Struthio camelus: one gene and its partner. The protein of the gene in region 2 interacts with the protein of the main gene of each other region in a pairwise test. Links are inferred from orthologs where the notes say so. Each region holds a gene or a part of one and is shown on either strand. Other genes may lie near its edges.

Region 1 (7,887 bases), about 23 Mb from region 2:
AAGCTTGTACACTTCTAGTCATGCGCACATTGTACCAGAAGGCTCATTTAAAGCTAGGCAAATAGTTTAGAAGTCCTTTCGCAAAATGCAAGTTTTCTTCAGAGACGTGTGAGAGTAGGAGTAAATGACAGATCGGAAAGAGGGATCATTGCTAACATTAGCTAATGGCCAATTTCAGACATCCTTCCCCCATGTATTCAATGGCAGCAGCAATATCCTTGCCCAAGGAGAGCAAGCCTAAGAACTGAGCCTAAGAAGCCTTCTTCCTACATATAGCTGTCTCTCTCAGCATCAGTCATCACTGGGACCAGAAAGGATCAGATATACATAGGCAAAAGCAATAAAAAGGTTGATTTTAATAAATCTCTTTTCTTTAACTGGTGCTGCAGGTTCCTCCCACAGCCCTTCAATCATTACACATCCAAAGCTTCCTCATTCTTAGCCTGGTATATTAGAAAAGGAAAGTTTATACAGTTATGCTACACATTAAAACTTGAATACTTGTCTGCATATATAATGAATTTTGAACTTATTAGTCAGTTTTTATCAAATTCAGCTAACAGACTGAGAAGTCTCAGAGATAATCAAGTACTTATAATTTTAGCAAAAATACGTGTGTGCCTCTCATACTTGAGCACTTAAATACCTCTGGAGAGGGAAAGTCTGCAGGTTGAATTTAGACTTCATTGGACAGCACACAGAAAAAAAAATCTACATGAGAGCTAGCGTAAAAACTGTGCAAATGTCAATCACTACTCACCATTAACAATAAGACAAATTCATAGGGAGCTAGCCATTATCAGTCCTGGTATCAGTTATACTTGGTCTTATTTGAATGACTTGTTCCTTAACGGAAATCACCTTTCTGTTCTTGCATGTATCCCTCCCATAGGGCACCATTTCACTGATGATGTATTGAGGCCAGAACACAGGCAGCAAGAAAAATGTTATGCTTTTCCTGCGCATTCAACAGATGTAAATATCTTAAAGTTATATTCACACAAGCCACGGGTCAGCATTAGAATATGTAGCTATTACACTGTGCTCGAGTACACTGCTGATAAAGGCCTTTACTCCATTATTTCTTTCCTTTCTCCAGCTACAGACATATAGTGTTTTTTGACGTTGTTTTGCAGATTGAGCAGCACTTTGTTTCATTAATTTTAATGGGACTATTCATTAAGCAAAATGTCAGGCAACATGACTACAAAAAAAAAAAAATTTACAGTGATTAGTAGCCTTCTCATATGCCTCACTGACCATGGATGCACTTTGCATCCCCCACTCCTCTGCTGAGATACTCAAGTCTACTCTCTCTCTGTAGCACCACATGACATTACCTTCTACTCTTCCAAAGACATTGTCAAAAGTCCCTTTAGAAGAACTTGCTGCCTGCCACAAAGATTTTTGAATTAAATATAATCAAGATCATAAATACAGTATAGAAAAAACTCATATTTTATACAACTACTGAGAAAGTACTCACTACTATGTGCAATATGTTCCCAAGCCCAAGATCTACTTACTCCAATGAACTCAATGTCATCTTCACTTTCATGCTGTGTTGGTGATTTAGTCTCAGGAATGTTGCCAGAGCTAAGAGACTCCATTATCTAAACAGAAACAAATCAAAACATGCTTCAAACATGTTCTATCGTTTTTTAAAAAGTTCTCCCTCATTATGTTTTCAGTTTCATTTACAGCTACTTTGGCTCTACAACCAATTTGCATTCAAATCTCTTCGTATCATTCAGTGACAACTACTGATAATGCTAGAGTAAGTGCTAAAAGAAATAAAATAATTTTGGTTCGAATCATGTCACTACATTGCCCAAGTAATATGCAAAACAGCCTAACCTACAAAACACACCAACACCGTATTCCTCCAGCACTTCCTCATTGTGCAAGCTTTACTACAGAGAGGAACCTGGTACTAGGGTTTACCACCCTAGTTGACTAACGCGTTTCACTCTCAAATCCATACGAACAGAAAAAGCAGAGCTCCTAACTTGCCCGCGCTGGCACCTGCGCAGCTGCGCACCCCCACTAGGATACAAACAGAGGCTTGTTTAGCCAAAGACACGTCTTGGAAGTGATGACTTAAGGCATACTTAGCAGCTACTGATATTTCTGATGCTTTCGGCCACTTTAGGACCGCAGGAGAGCCAGAAGACAGAGTTTCGTCTTGCCAAAGGAGAGACGCCCCGCGAGCAGGCAGCAGCAGGCGCGGATCGCCGGGCCCGAGGCGCCCGCCAGCCCCTCAGACGGCGCCGCCGGGCGGGCACCTCTGCTGACTCACTCGCCCTTCTTCGCCCGCCTGACCACGCTAGCCCAAAGGGTGCCGAGGCAGCCGCCAAAATAAGAAGCCACCAGGCCGAGCGGCAGCAGCCACCACCACGCCGGCCCCACCGAGACAGAGCGGGTGCGCCAGGAGGCGGCGGCGGGGCCGCCCGGCGCCTGCTCTGCTCCGCTCCCGCCCGCCCCGCGCACGCAGCCGCCGTTGCTAAGCGATGGCGCCGCGCTCCCCCCTCTCCCCCCCCCGCCCCTCACAATGCCCCGGCCTCGCTCACCCCGCCGGCGCCGCCGCCGCGACCAGCACCCGCGACGCATCAACCCCCGACCCGCCACCCCGCGCCTCGGCTTCCTCTTCAAACCGGGGGCGGCGGGCAGGGAAGGCGCGGCGGGCGCGGCCTGCTGGGACTTGTAGTTCGCGCCCGGCTCGCCGCGCTCCTCCCCGCCTCTTCCCCGCGGAAGGTGTCGGCGCTACCGCCGCAACGTCATGTCCCGGCTGCCCTGCGGCGGCGTTTTTCCTATCTTTTTTTTTTTTCGGTTCCCTCTTTCTTTTTTTTTTTTTTTTCCCTTCAGCACCTTCCTCGCCCCCGCTCGCTCGCCTTCGTTCTGCGATCGCCCGCTTCTGAATAAAGCTGCCGGTGGAAGGAGGGAAACCCTCAAGCCGCTGCCGAGGCGGGGCAGGGTCACCGCCATGGGGATGGAGAGTGGGCGGGCAGGGGAGGCGGGAAAACCCCCTCCCTCCGGGGAGGCCGCGCGCGCGGCGGCCGTTGGCGGCCGTTGGCGGCGGCCGTTAGCGCCGCGCCGAGGCGGCGGCCGCTGCCCCTCACGGCTGGTGCCGGCGGGGGGCGCTGCCTTGGGGGGGGGGTGCTGCGCCTGGCCGGGGCGTCCGGTCACTGCTCCTGGTTTTCTGTGCGTTTCTGTGTCCCCGCGGGGGTGGGAGGGCGTTGTCACCCCGGCTTAGGAAAGATTTTTCTTAAGTGCTTAAAAAGTGTTTCACTTCTGATAGCTCTTGCTCGAGGCCATCACCTGCCCCCCCCCCCCGACCGGCCGGGTGCCTTGGTGCCCTTCCCTGCCCCAGAGGCCGTGTCTCGGCCTCACCTGACAAGGGGTGGCGGGGGCAGAAGCAGTGTCACCCCGCAGCGCCCGTTGCTGGTGGCCTCCAGAAATCCCGGCATGCTGGGAGCATCCCGCTCTGCTCCTGCTTTCCTAACGCGCCTTGTCCAAAGAGTCTCTCTAGTGAAAACCTGAATATCAGACTATATCAGTTGTGCGTGGGAGAGCTCTCAGAAGGAGAACTGGCGTGGTGTCCTGGGGCCACCTTCCCCCCTGCCGGCTAGGCTTCCTTGGGACGCGCGGTCGCAGCTAGGCTGTGGTGGAGCGCGGCTGGGGAGCAGCCGCTGCCCTCTCGCTCGCTCGCTCCCGGCCTGCTGGGAAGCCCGCAGCAGCCTCCTGGGCGGAAGAAAGCTCCAGAGGGAAACGAAGTGGGTCTGCAAATGGCAATGAAGTAGGTGGTAACGTGATAAATAACAGTGAGTTTAAATGATGGCATCCTGAAATAAATTGACACACCTAATTCTAATCTTTCCTTTAGCTTCTCAAACTATGCTCTGCCTCTTAGGTGTGTAATTGTGATTCTTAATACTTGCCTGCTACTGATCTGCTTCATCCTGTTCTTTGTAGCTCTGAGTCACCCCAGGTCAAAACTGATGAACAGAATCACGTTTACTCAGTGCATTGAGTCTGAGTAAGCCGAATGTCGCTTTCGAGTTGTGTGCCTATATACAACAGCTGCTTGTACCCAAAACAGTTCACTGGTATGTGCTTATTAAACTACACATACACAGGAGAGAGAGAGAATTCAGGGTTACATGTTGCATTTGGATGTTATGAGACCTTTGTGAATAGAAGTGTAAGGAATAATACATCACATGGTGCTTGGCAATGTTAGAATTAATGTAGTGCATTTATTTTTCCTGTAAACACCAAGTTACTGTACTAATCCCAGTTTTAAGCCTCCCTTCATATCATAATGAAAAAATAGCTTTATGATAAAAGATAAACTTGGAAGTACTGAGATCGTGAAACGCTCCTATTATCTCCTTCTGTGAGATGTGATTCTTGCTTTTTTTTACTATTTGCCTGTTAATTAAAATATGATAGTTAACTGGTTTGTACAATGTAATCACTGTTGTTGAACTGTATAAAGAACACTTAGTAGAACAGTTTTATTTTGTTATTAAAACAAAAGAAACTTTGTTGCCATTTAGAAAATTAAAGTCATTGTTGCTGCCTAAACTTTGCTCATATTTTGCATTTATAACCTAAATTTGCTAATAGAGTATTGAAAGCAGCCATTCTATTTGTAGCTTGCATGTGGTACTTAATTAATTTTGATTCTTGAGGACAGATAACACGAAGTCCAATAGTAGTGAGTTGCTAGAATAACTTTCTAGAATAGCAAGGTGGCATTTTTTTTTCAAATTCTGATATTCTACGAAGATGATGCTCATTTGAGTATGAACTTTTCAGCAGTAACTGAGGTAAAGGAGGTTTGTTTGCTCTTGCGATGACCCATCCAAAGATCTTCCCCATAAGTGAACAATACAGTTAATGAAAAGAAGACAGTAAAAGAAAAGTGATATCTGCAATCTGGTCAACATTTAGAATATGCTAACAAAACTCTGAATTCCAGAATTTGAAGATTTTAGCTAATTCCTGCTAATAAAATTCTAGATTCCAAAACTGGAATATTTTAGGTAATTTCTGTGAAAACATGGGCTTTCTAAGTTGTATCAGCTTAGGAAAGTTATTACACAGGCTTTTTTCATAGAGCGTGGAAAAGATGTAGCCTGCTGCACTGCATCACTTGCAGTGAGAGTAGTCCATTTTTTAAAAGAGAGTCAATAGGCTCCCAAAGGTAGCCACGGACAAACCTAGGAGAGCAGGGAGTATTCATGGTCTGCCTGTTCATGAGTTAAATCTTAAAAAAGGCCAAACCTCCAGGAGGAGTCTGGGTGTTAGATAGGATGTGGAAGCCATTTCTGAGCAGACCTCCCTCCTATGTAAACTCAGTAATAATACTCTCTGCAACCAATTCCACGTATTATGTACCCTGAAAACAATTATTTTCTTTTACAAAATTTAAACACATTTCAACTTCCTTCCTTCTGTCCTTGCTCCTTATCGTGAGTGAAATGTTGCCTTTTTAACCACTGATTTCCCTCTTGTGTCAACATTGTATACTGCCATTTACTCTAAATCTAGAAAATTTAGATGTAGATTTTTTTTTTAATTAGACTCCTAGTCAGCTAGTATACTGGTTTTTAGTAAGAGGGAACAGGAACCAGACACATGAAAAACCGATCTATTCAATAGTATTTTGTTTTTATCAGTCAATTTTTTTATCCCAGTCTTCACATACCATAATGCTCTTTCTTCTTTAGAGAACAGATATTCTTATTGACCAATTCATAATAAACAATGGCCAAATCCTTTTGCAAGGTAATCTTCAAATTTAATCTAAAATACAGATAGAAACAGATAGTTCAAATAATTTGTTTCAGTACCGCTTACTTAGTTTTCAATACTGAATCTCTAGTTATTAGATACTGCAGAGTTGTATAGCTCTGTTAGTTTCTTCTACAGTAAGCTGTCAGCCTGCTCTGATTTTCAGTAATGCAAATAATGCATCCTCTATCACTTATTATCAGATGAATTGTACGCTTTGTGACACAACATGTTTACATGTCACCAACTAATTTTGTTTCTAGCGCAAATCTTGGGAAAACCAGTGTTAAGCTGCTCTGCTCTCCCCTCCCCTTGCCTTGTTACTTCTGTAGTTTCTCATCTGTAATTATTTAGTCTTCAGTTTTGTAGTCACAGAGAGCTCGTCAGCATCTTTTTCGAAAGCCAGTTATATTTTCTTCCTTTTCGATCATACTGAAAGGACCATGGCTTTTCTGTTAACCATTCAGTTCTGTAAAATCTTCTCTTTGGTGGGATAACATCAGTTCCACAGGGAGAGAGGAAGACACCGGCTCTTTGCGGCCTGCTCCCTGCTTCTACCCTTTGGCAGAACATTAAAATGTCTGCTTTTCTATGTTCTTTGCTTTTTGTTCAGAACATCCCCTGCCATGCCCATTTTCTAGTGCTTCACGCTACCATGAAAATCCTCCTTTTCTCATTGTGCTGAGCTGCCAGCCCCGCTTGTTTTCATTTGAAAAACTACCCAATCTGCAGAATAGAAAAGCACCTAGTGCATCACGATCTTCAGTGCTGCCCCAGAGGCAGAGAGAGCAGCTACTCACGTTTAGCTCAATGTGCCTGCGTGCCCAAGTGGCTCTGCAGCTCCAGCGCTGAACTGCTCCACAACAGCAGGGTTGCTGCAGCTCTGCTATATCAACTGGGAGGACTTTAAGCTCCTTAGTTAAAAATTACGAGTTTTATAGAAGCTGGCTTCAGAACTATTATTAAAAAAAAGGAGTGAGTGAGAAAGAAAAGCAACCTTACATGTGAAAGTGTGCAGCAGTGACTGATGTAAGAAAAAGCCCAGAAGATAATAAGAATGAAACAAAGACATAGTAATGTTTAATTTTATTTGATAGAAAGTTGCTTCAAAAATATGATTAACTATATACATTCATATATGCTATACATACAGGTACATATACAAAATATACATAATGGCAAACATCCTTCTGTTACATTTCATGGATGATAGTGAACAACATGAAATAGAACTTGTGTCATGTTGTCATATCTGCTTTCATCCTAATCCTATCTACAAGGAATTTATAGACATGAGAGATGAAAAAGGCTAACAGATCACTTAATCCATACCCCTGCCCATGCAAAAGTCTTCTCTATAGTCCATTGATTGAACAAAATTAAGGCTTGCAGCACCTCCCTCTCTCAAGGTATCCAGCTGCTAACCTCGTCCTCAGAATGTTTTCCTGACATTCACCCCAAAGCTACTTCTAATTTATTTCTATAATTCAGAGATGTCTCCTCAAATCAAGCTAAATTTCTTCATTTTTGTGGTTTTTCTCATCTTCATTCCTTAGTTGCTTGTTTGCCAAGTAAAAAATATATTTAACTGTTGTTAGTACTCTCTCTTCTAGGAGAAATACACTCAAGCTTGAAAGCCATGGTCTCTACTTCCCATGCTACAAGCGCACTGTAAACCTGGAATCAGTCAGACTACAAGCAACAGTGGAGAAAAAGGTACCTGTCCTCTTCGTTCCAGGCAGTTATAGGATGTGCCAGTTGCCCGACTGAGACAAGTGCTGTCAGGTCTCCAAAGGAACTGGCATGTTGCTGAGGGGTTTCTGGTACCAACCCCATTAGGACCACCCTACCTACCCACCCACTCCCTAACCAAAAAGTAGCATTCCAAAACCTAGACATAGGGAGTAGGAGCTGGCATCTTTGTCCTTTTCTAGTCGCTTCCTAAAGACTGTCCTCCATTTCGCGACTGAAGGGACCAGACACTCTCAGGTGTGGAGCTGATGTTCAGGAAGGAAGAGATAAACCGGAGTACCGGCAGCAAAAGGCCAGTGAGAGAAGCCATGGCCTCCCCAACTAAACAGGCTATTC
Region 2 (7,372 bases):
GCTATTTTTCTTCATATTCCTTTTAAGCAATAGGAATTTGCAATAACCACAGAAATGGAACTCAAACTAAAATCACTGTTCCTCTATGGGCATAAATCAATCTTCAGTAACTTCTAAATTCACAGTAACTATGAATTTCATATTCCCAGTCATGGTATTTCTCACTTACCATCTGGCTTTGCACTGCTTTGCTGATTTCCTATGCAATAAAGAAGCAATACGAGACCACTGGTTTTTGCCATATTTCATCACAGCTGCTTTCAGAATTTCATCCTTAAAACAGAAATTATGTATATTGTTATGGATCACCAAAACTCGCAAAGCGGAAAGACTCAGCTGAAGCAGAAGAGAATGCAGTAAGTTTCATAAAAAGGGCTGACCCACTAGAAACGACAAAGCACTACTGCTTCTTTTCCACATTTTATTTCAAGATGCATGAGAATTTGTATTCCAAAACCCACTGAAATTGATAGAGACTGAATGAAAAAGACTAGGAATGATCACTGCGGCCTACTTCGCAGGCTTGACAGAACTTTCAAAATTAATAGTTTCAACGTTCTTACGCATGCAGTTTTTGATGGTTCTGTAGGTCTTTTTCAAAGAATAGTAATAAAGAGGCAGGGAGGTGTTTATCTGTTTGACAGTGATAGAACATTAAAAAAAAAATTAGGATAGATCCTCTGAGGTGGCTTGTTTTAAATAACGCCCTGAAGTGGGTTTTTTTGCAAGTTTTAATGCAAACCTGTGTTGCGATGGAATATTCACCTATAAATGGAAAAAGCTGTTAAAAAAATACACCACAAAATATGAAGTTCCTCTATTCTAAATAAATCCTAAAATAAACCACTGAAATGTTTAGAATGCTACATCCAGAAATGCTGATCCGAAAGCTTACAAGCTTATGGGGAAAAATACGTAATGGATTCAGTTAGGATTACCTCAGCTTGGAGGCCAGGCTGTTCATATATATCAAACTATACACATAGAGATATGATCAAAAGCTAAAAATTGTAATTATTGCCTTGTCAACCCATCCATCCATTCCTCTCTCCCTTTCTCCACAAAAACGGCTTCATTATTTCTGGTCTCCCCACAATTCAGAAAATGGTATTTTAAATACTTCACAGCTATTCTTTATAGCCTTGTCAACCACGAATGTTATTCTATATCCAATAAGATCACGTAGTTTGCTCAGAATCTGTTTGGCTGCACAGTGCAGATGCTAGTCGTCAGTGACAGACTCGCTGTCTAGCGCGGACAGTTCCCACAGCGCACAGCAGCTTCAACTGCAAACTAATGAGCTTCAGCTTGAGATGCTACAGGAAGCAGTTCATATAATCTCTATTAAAAAAGCCCCAAATTTCCATAAATCCTCTCTCGGTTTCTGAATTCTACTCACTGTCAAATCGCATGCAGTAGCCATACTGATGACAATAGCAGACCGATTTGCCAGTAATCGGTCATTTTTTTGACCGTCAATTAGTTCCGCTTTTTGTATTTTTTAATGTTGTACATTCACATTACATTAATCATAAAAATAGCAGTAAATACAAGAGCTTTCTATTTCATCTCTGATATACAAAAGCGGGTGAAACAACGATCCATTTAACCCACTGCTGTTTCTCTAACAGTTGCCAAAATTCATCAGCTATGGAAGATGATAAGAACAGCACACGTACACAGCAGTACTTCTTTTCCTCCACTGACCTGCAACTCAACAGCCTCCTGATGCAGAGCTGCTATATAGCATAGGTGTTTAAGAGAACATAGGACATTTATCTTCCATTAATTTTTCTTACTGCTCTTTGAAACTATGTAAATACTTAGTGTCCACAGTATACAGTAGCAGAGTTCTACAGTTTACTGTGTAAGTAAGTAAGTAAGTAAGTATCTCCTTTGCTTTGAACCTGGCACCTAGCGAAATTAATCTGAAATCTCTAATTCTTGCACTATTGTTTTCTTTTTCACTATTATTTATAGTTCTGAAAGAAACGTGAGGGCAAAAACAGGGTAGAGATCATCTTCTTTTCTTTAGACACAGGGAAACATTTGTGCATTCAAACTCCGGCCAACACAGATTCTTCTGCCCAAAACACTCTGGGCTGCAGATGAAGAGCCCATACCTATCTTCAGCTTTTCTGCATTAGGAAGGGTCTCCAAGAGGAACGAACTCCAGCTCTTTCATATCCCAAGTGAGTAAGAACCCTGCCCATGCAGTACAGGACAAGTTCCAACCTAGAAAAGCGACACCTCCGAGCAGGGCGAGGTGCAGGTGGATCCACGGAGAAGCTCGAGTTGCTGCGGGGGCGGTTTCTGCGTGCCAGGAGCTACGCATGGCCGAGCTTCCTCCCCCCCCCCCCCAAACACATGACCCCCAGGAGAAACAGCACTGAATCGACCTCTGCCGACCAGGCCAGGGGACGAACAGGGGGGTCCAGTCTGCAGGGGAAGCAAGCCTACCAGAGCCGCGGTACTTCTAAAGCCCTAACCCTTTATTCCCCCGCTAGAGAGGAATAAGGAAGACCCCAAACTCCCATCCCCGCCGTGGAGGCAAACGACCCTACTACGGAAGCCCCTCCACGCATGCGCGCCACGACCGCTCCCACAGCGCTTGCGCACTAATGTAGGGTGACCCCCCCCCCTTCCCCCTCCCCCGCAATCCCGGAGGAGGCCCCAACCCGGGGGGGAGGATATTAAAGCGAACCGGCTCCTACCTCGGTGTTCCGCCACACACCGCCTTTAATCATAATCCGCGGCATCTTGGCGGCGAAGGGGTACCAAGCTCGGCAGAGGAAAAAGGGGTGAAAGCACGGAAACGCCGCTCGTCACAGCCGGGCCGGCCGAGACGCGGCGCAGGCGCTGTCCGCGGAAAGGCGCGCGCTCGGCGCAGGCGCAAAGGGGAGGCCGTAACGGCTGCGCGGGGGGGGGGGGGGGAGGAGGGGACGGCACCGTTCGCGCACGCGCAACGGGGACGACGCCAGGCTTGGGGCTCTGCGCAGGCGCCAAGCCCAGGGCGGCAGAGCCGTCTGGGCGGGGCTCGAGGGCGTGGCCAGGAGAGGGGGCGTGGCCGCCCGGGGGCTGCTTCGAAGAGGCGGAACAAAACTCCATGCGGCGAAAAGGCTTGGGGTTTTTTTTAACCTTTTTTTTTTTTTAATCTGATCATTTTTTTCTGTCCTCTGCTGTGTAAGATTTCACCAGTCTTACTTTTACAATGTGTTTTGCTAAAGTATCTTGGAAAAAAAAAAATCCACATTAACACAAGGCAGCCCGAGTGAAAATTGGAACACTGATGTCCAGATTTTAAGAGTTACTTAAATCTTACATTTCAGGCCCCTGCACCTCTTCACCCGTCCTTTTTCTGTTATCATTGTTTATTGAACTCTTATGTATTGCAGTCTTCACTGCAAAGCTTCCTTACTGTTTACATAAGGTTTCAGATCTTCCGTTCCAATAATCAGAAAAACAAAACCAAACCAAAAAAAAAAACCTGAGGCTGAACTTCCCTATTAGGCACTAATGAACCAAGTTGCTAGTATGCTTCCCATCCTAATCAACTTGTTGACATTGTCTAATCCACTGTTCCTGCAGCTGTTACTGTTACTAAACAAAAAAAAAAAGGCAGCTGGGCTTTCAGCCCTATTTCACAGGATTACGGATCTAAACCTCGCAGAAGCCAGGCTTCAGAAAAGAATCCCCCTCTCTCCTTTTGATACCCCAATCATATGCATAGTCTGGATTCTTGCCTTTGAGAAGCAATTCTTGTCTGCTAGGTCAAGATCGCATTAGGCTGAAAGGCTGGAGATGTTGTAGAAATAGTTTGACGCTAGGTTTCCAAGGAGCAGAGTCTCACACACGTACAACAGCAAAATCATTTAATTAAAGGATGGTATGACAGGGCAACAGCTCGAGCTGGGTGCCTCTGGGGATGGACCCAGAACAAAAGAATACTTAAGTAATTATACTTTTTACAGTTTTATTTTCCCATCTGCCAGTGATAGTCTCTTCCAATCTTCTTTGCTGAGTCGGTGGTCTCTTTCCCTCTGATTGGTTCACATCTACATCCCGGGACGGCTGCTGTGTTCCTGCACCTTATCTTATCCAAAGGTCAGCTGTTACCTCTGGTCACTCTGTGCCCTTGAGGGCTGGTTTTAGCTTACTTTGCAGTCACGTTGCCAGCAATGCTCTTTGGGTTACAGTTCAGTCCCGCGGCCTGCAGGCTTCACCTGCTTTAGGCGCTTATGCTAAGCTGAAGCTAAGTCGGCTGCAATTCCCTTCTCTAATAGGAGAGCCCTCAGCAAGTTAGCCTACAGTTATGGGAACAAAATGAGCTCTTTATTTAACTGCTCTATCTCCTGGCCGAGTCCTTTAAGGAGAGAACCGAATGAACAACAAGCTTCCTTCTCCCCTCCTCCTGCACAAGTTTCTCCTTTGCCAAGACTGTACAAGCCTTCCTTAATGCTATATTCGATTTATAAACTAGACACACGCCTTTAAAGCTGGATAGCAAAAGTTTTTTCTTACACACACAAACCACCCCCCCCCCCCATCTTTACTGCAAAGTGTAAGGGAAGTTGAGGAATGCCTATTTCTTATCTCTATGCCCTCATATCCAAAAGGCCTCTGGTATGTGAGGCAATAGAAAGAAGCATACATTATCTGGTCCACAAAGACTCCTTCAAAAGTATTTTTTTTTAAACACACTTTTCTGTGTATTTTCTTCTCTCAGTTCACCCACAATTTTAAAAGCCCAAGTGAAAGCTTTATTACTAAAATTTAGTAATTTTCTCTCCCCTAGGGACACTGGATTGAGCCTGAGGAAAACAGCATGGGACAGTTTTTACTTTCCAAGCTAAAAAAAAAAAAAAAAAAAAAACGTTATTTCCTTCCATGTGCTGTATATAAAACTGGTTACAAGTATTGCAGCATGGTCTAACTCACCTATATTCATTTATTTCACCTCAAGTTTAACTTTATTATTCACTTGTTTAGAAGACATGGAGCAGATAAAATGATCTCCATATATTTGCTCAAGGAGATGGGTCACTAATGCTATTGCATTTTACTGTTTTATCCAAATTCAGGATGTGTTAATTAAAAAAAAATCACCAAGATAATGTTTTGGTTCAAGTAAAAGATATCATAGTATGATTTAGAAAAGACTTTGCTTCTTGCTAAAACTCTGCAAGGACAAAAATATTACACCTTTGATTTTTATTTTTTTGCTCGTTAGAAATAGCCAATGCCCTTATTTTAAAGTAGATATGCATTTACGTTTAAATTTAGGTTTACTTTAGGTTTAAACTTCTAATTCTATGAAGGACAGTGCATTTGCACTAGGAAAGAATTAAGGACAGAGGGGAACCTCATGAGTCTTTTTTTTTTGTTTTTGTTTTTTTTTTTAAATTAGAGGTAGCCACCTAAAAAGTTATTTTTACAAACTTATCAAGCTCCATCTGAGAATGTCTTCTGTTCTCCTTACTTGCCACTAAAAGAAATTTCCAGTGTTTACTGTGTGTCCTGTCTGATTTAATTCACAGTGTATTTATCCCTTAACGGAGAAAAGGGGAGCTCAGTTTATTTAAAACATACTTATAAACAGGTAATTATTCCTTATCAGATTTTGTTTTCATAGTTTCACCTGATGCACAGAATTTCAATTCTGTCATCATTTTTGTATCTCTTCTTTGCACCTGTTCTTTTTTTATTTTCTTCAAATACGCTGTCAGAATTCCAGAGAAATTCAAATAAAGTCAACCATGGTTGCATAATAGTGTTAATATTTCCCAGAAACGCTTTGCCACATTCATGCTAAGCTAACTTACTTCTCACAGCTGTAACCAATTGTTAGTTCAGTCATTCTAAGATCAGAATCTTTCTTCTTGCATTTCCAAATGGTGACTTCCCAGCTTATAGTAAAAATATCTGTAACATCACTAAGGTTCATGGTCACAAACATTTAATTGCCTGATTTTACTGAAATCAAAGAGAACTAGATCATTTAAATTCCTTTGTTGATCTAGCCTTAGGTGCATGCACCCACTGATAAGTTTCAGTCCACTCTTCTTGCAAATTGCTTTTCTACTTTGCCAAAGAGCCTCTCCAAGGTATCACCTATATTAACAAAGAAAAGCATAAATTTGAGAGCAGTAACATAGCAGTAGTAGTTCATGGTAACATTCTCTAAATTAAGCTTCAGGCTTACTCTGTTGTTTCATGGACTGAACTATAACATGAAAAGGGTAATTAGTATCAATCCTTTGCCATTATCTTTTTTTCCCCCCACACAAGATAGCACTGCTGTTATAAATACCATTGAACATATAGTTAGCGGCTTCCATACAGTCTCTAGCGCTGTATAACTCAAAGCAAGCTTGACTACAAAGTGGAAGAAACATCCATCTCATTCAGTCTTCACCATAATGTATTTCTATTAAATAACTACAGTTTGATATATGTCATTATACATGTCATTTCAGAGGCAGAATAAATCTCTCATATTAACAAGCAAGTTTGACAGTTCAAGATATTGCTGAAGTTTTCAATGCAATCCAAGAAGTATTTGCAATATGTAAGGAAGTGCCTAAATTAACAGAAATATTGTTTCTCAAAAGAGATGCTATGATTTTTTTTTCCCGCAAGGAGCACCGTAACTGCATTTAGCAACCTGAGAAAAGATAAGGCATTTCATACTAGATTAATATCAGGCATCTAAATAAAATTCATAAAGATGGATTTGAAGTTTCTCAGTATCTCACAAGATCTGATTACATTACCATTTCTGTCAGACTACTCAAAGAATTATCAGGGATAATTACAGACAAGATTAAGTGCCTAACAACCTTTTCATATATACATATATATATATATATACATAAAAGACTTTCATATCCCAATTATCCAGTGATTACATGAATCTGTTTCAGTAATATTGTGAAACACTTCTAATCCGTTCTCTTGCAGTTGTTGCAAGAGAACCTTACAGGAGGGAATGCAAGTTTCAGCAGACAGGAGGGAACATTAAGCCTCCAACCACATTGACAATTTTTAATTCGAAAGTTACTACTTCGCAACGTAAAACACACTCCCCTCCCTTTAAACATTCTTTCAGCTAAACAAGACTCCAGTTTAGCTACCAAAAAAAAAAAAAAGGTGAAATAGAATAAGATAACCCTTCTATGAGGGTGTTTCAACTGATGAGCATAGGGCAAAACGTAGCTCCGACCTTAGAGAACAGAAAAAGTGCTCAAGCATGAAAACGTGCCTTCAAGAACTTCTTTAGCACATCCTTTGCCGGAACCAAAGCTCTCAGAAGAGCCAGGAGCAAGACAATCTCGATTTTATTCTCTGGACCAAAAAGACTAGATGCACCCAC

The links.
Region 1: the proteins of CDC5L (region 2) and ZNF451 interact in a two-hybrid assay, tested with the Homo sapiens proteins (2 studies listed by BioGRID and IntAct). The link is inferred for Struthio camelus from reciprocal best matches to the Homo sapiens genes CDC5L and ZNF451.

What each region holds. Positions count from the first base shown.
Region 1 is NC_090944.1:36,076,891-36,084,777, reverse strand, and holds the start of ZNF451 (E3 SUMO-protein ligase ZNF451), read right to left. Parts: upstream 3,008-7,887; 5' UTR 2,986-3,007; coding exon 2,869-2,985; exon of another isoform or gene 2,571-2,868; intron 2,483-2,570; exon of another isoform or gene 2,112-2,482; intron 1,614-2,111; coding exon 1,527-1,613; intron 1-1,526. UniProt on the Homo sapiens protein: E3 SUMO-protein ligase; has a preference for SUMO2 and SUMO3 and facilitates UBE2I/UBC9-mediated sumoylation of target proteins. Plays a role in protein SUMO2 modification in response to stress caused by DNA damage and by proteasome inhibitors (in vitro).
Region 2 is NC_090944.1:13,117,521-13,124,892, reverse strand, and holds the start of CDC5L (cell division cycle 5-like protein), read right to left. Parts: upstream 3,002-7,372; 5' UTR 2,760-3,001; coding exon 2,715-2,759; intron 274-2,714; coding exon 170-273; intron 1-169.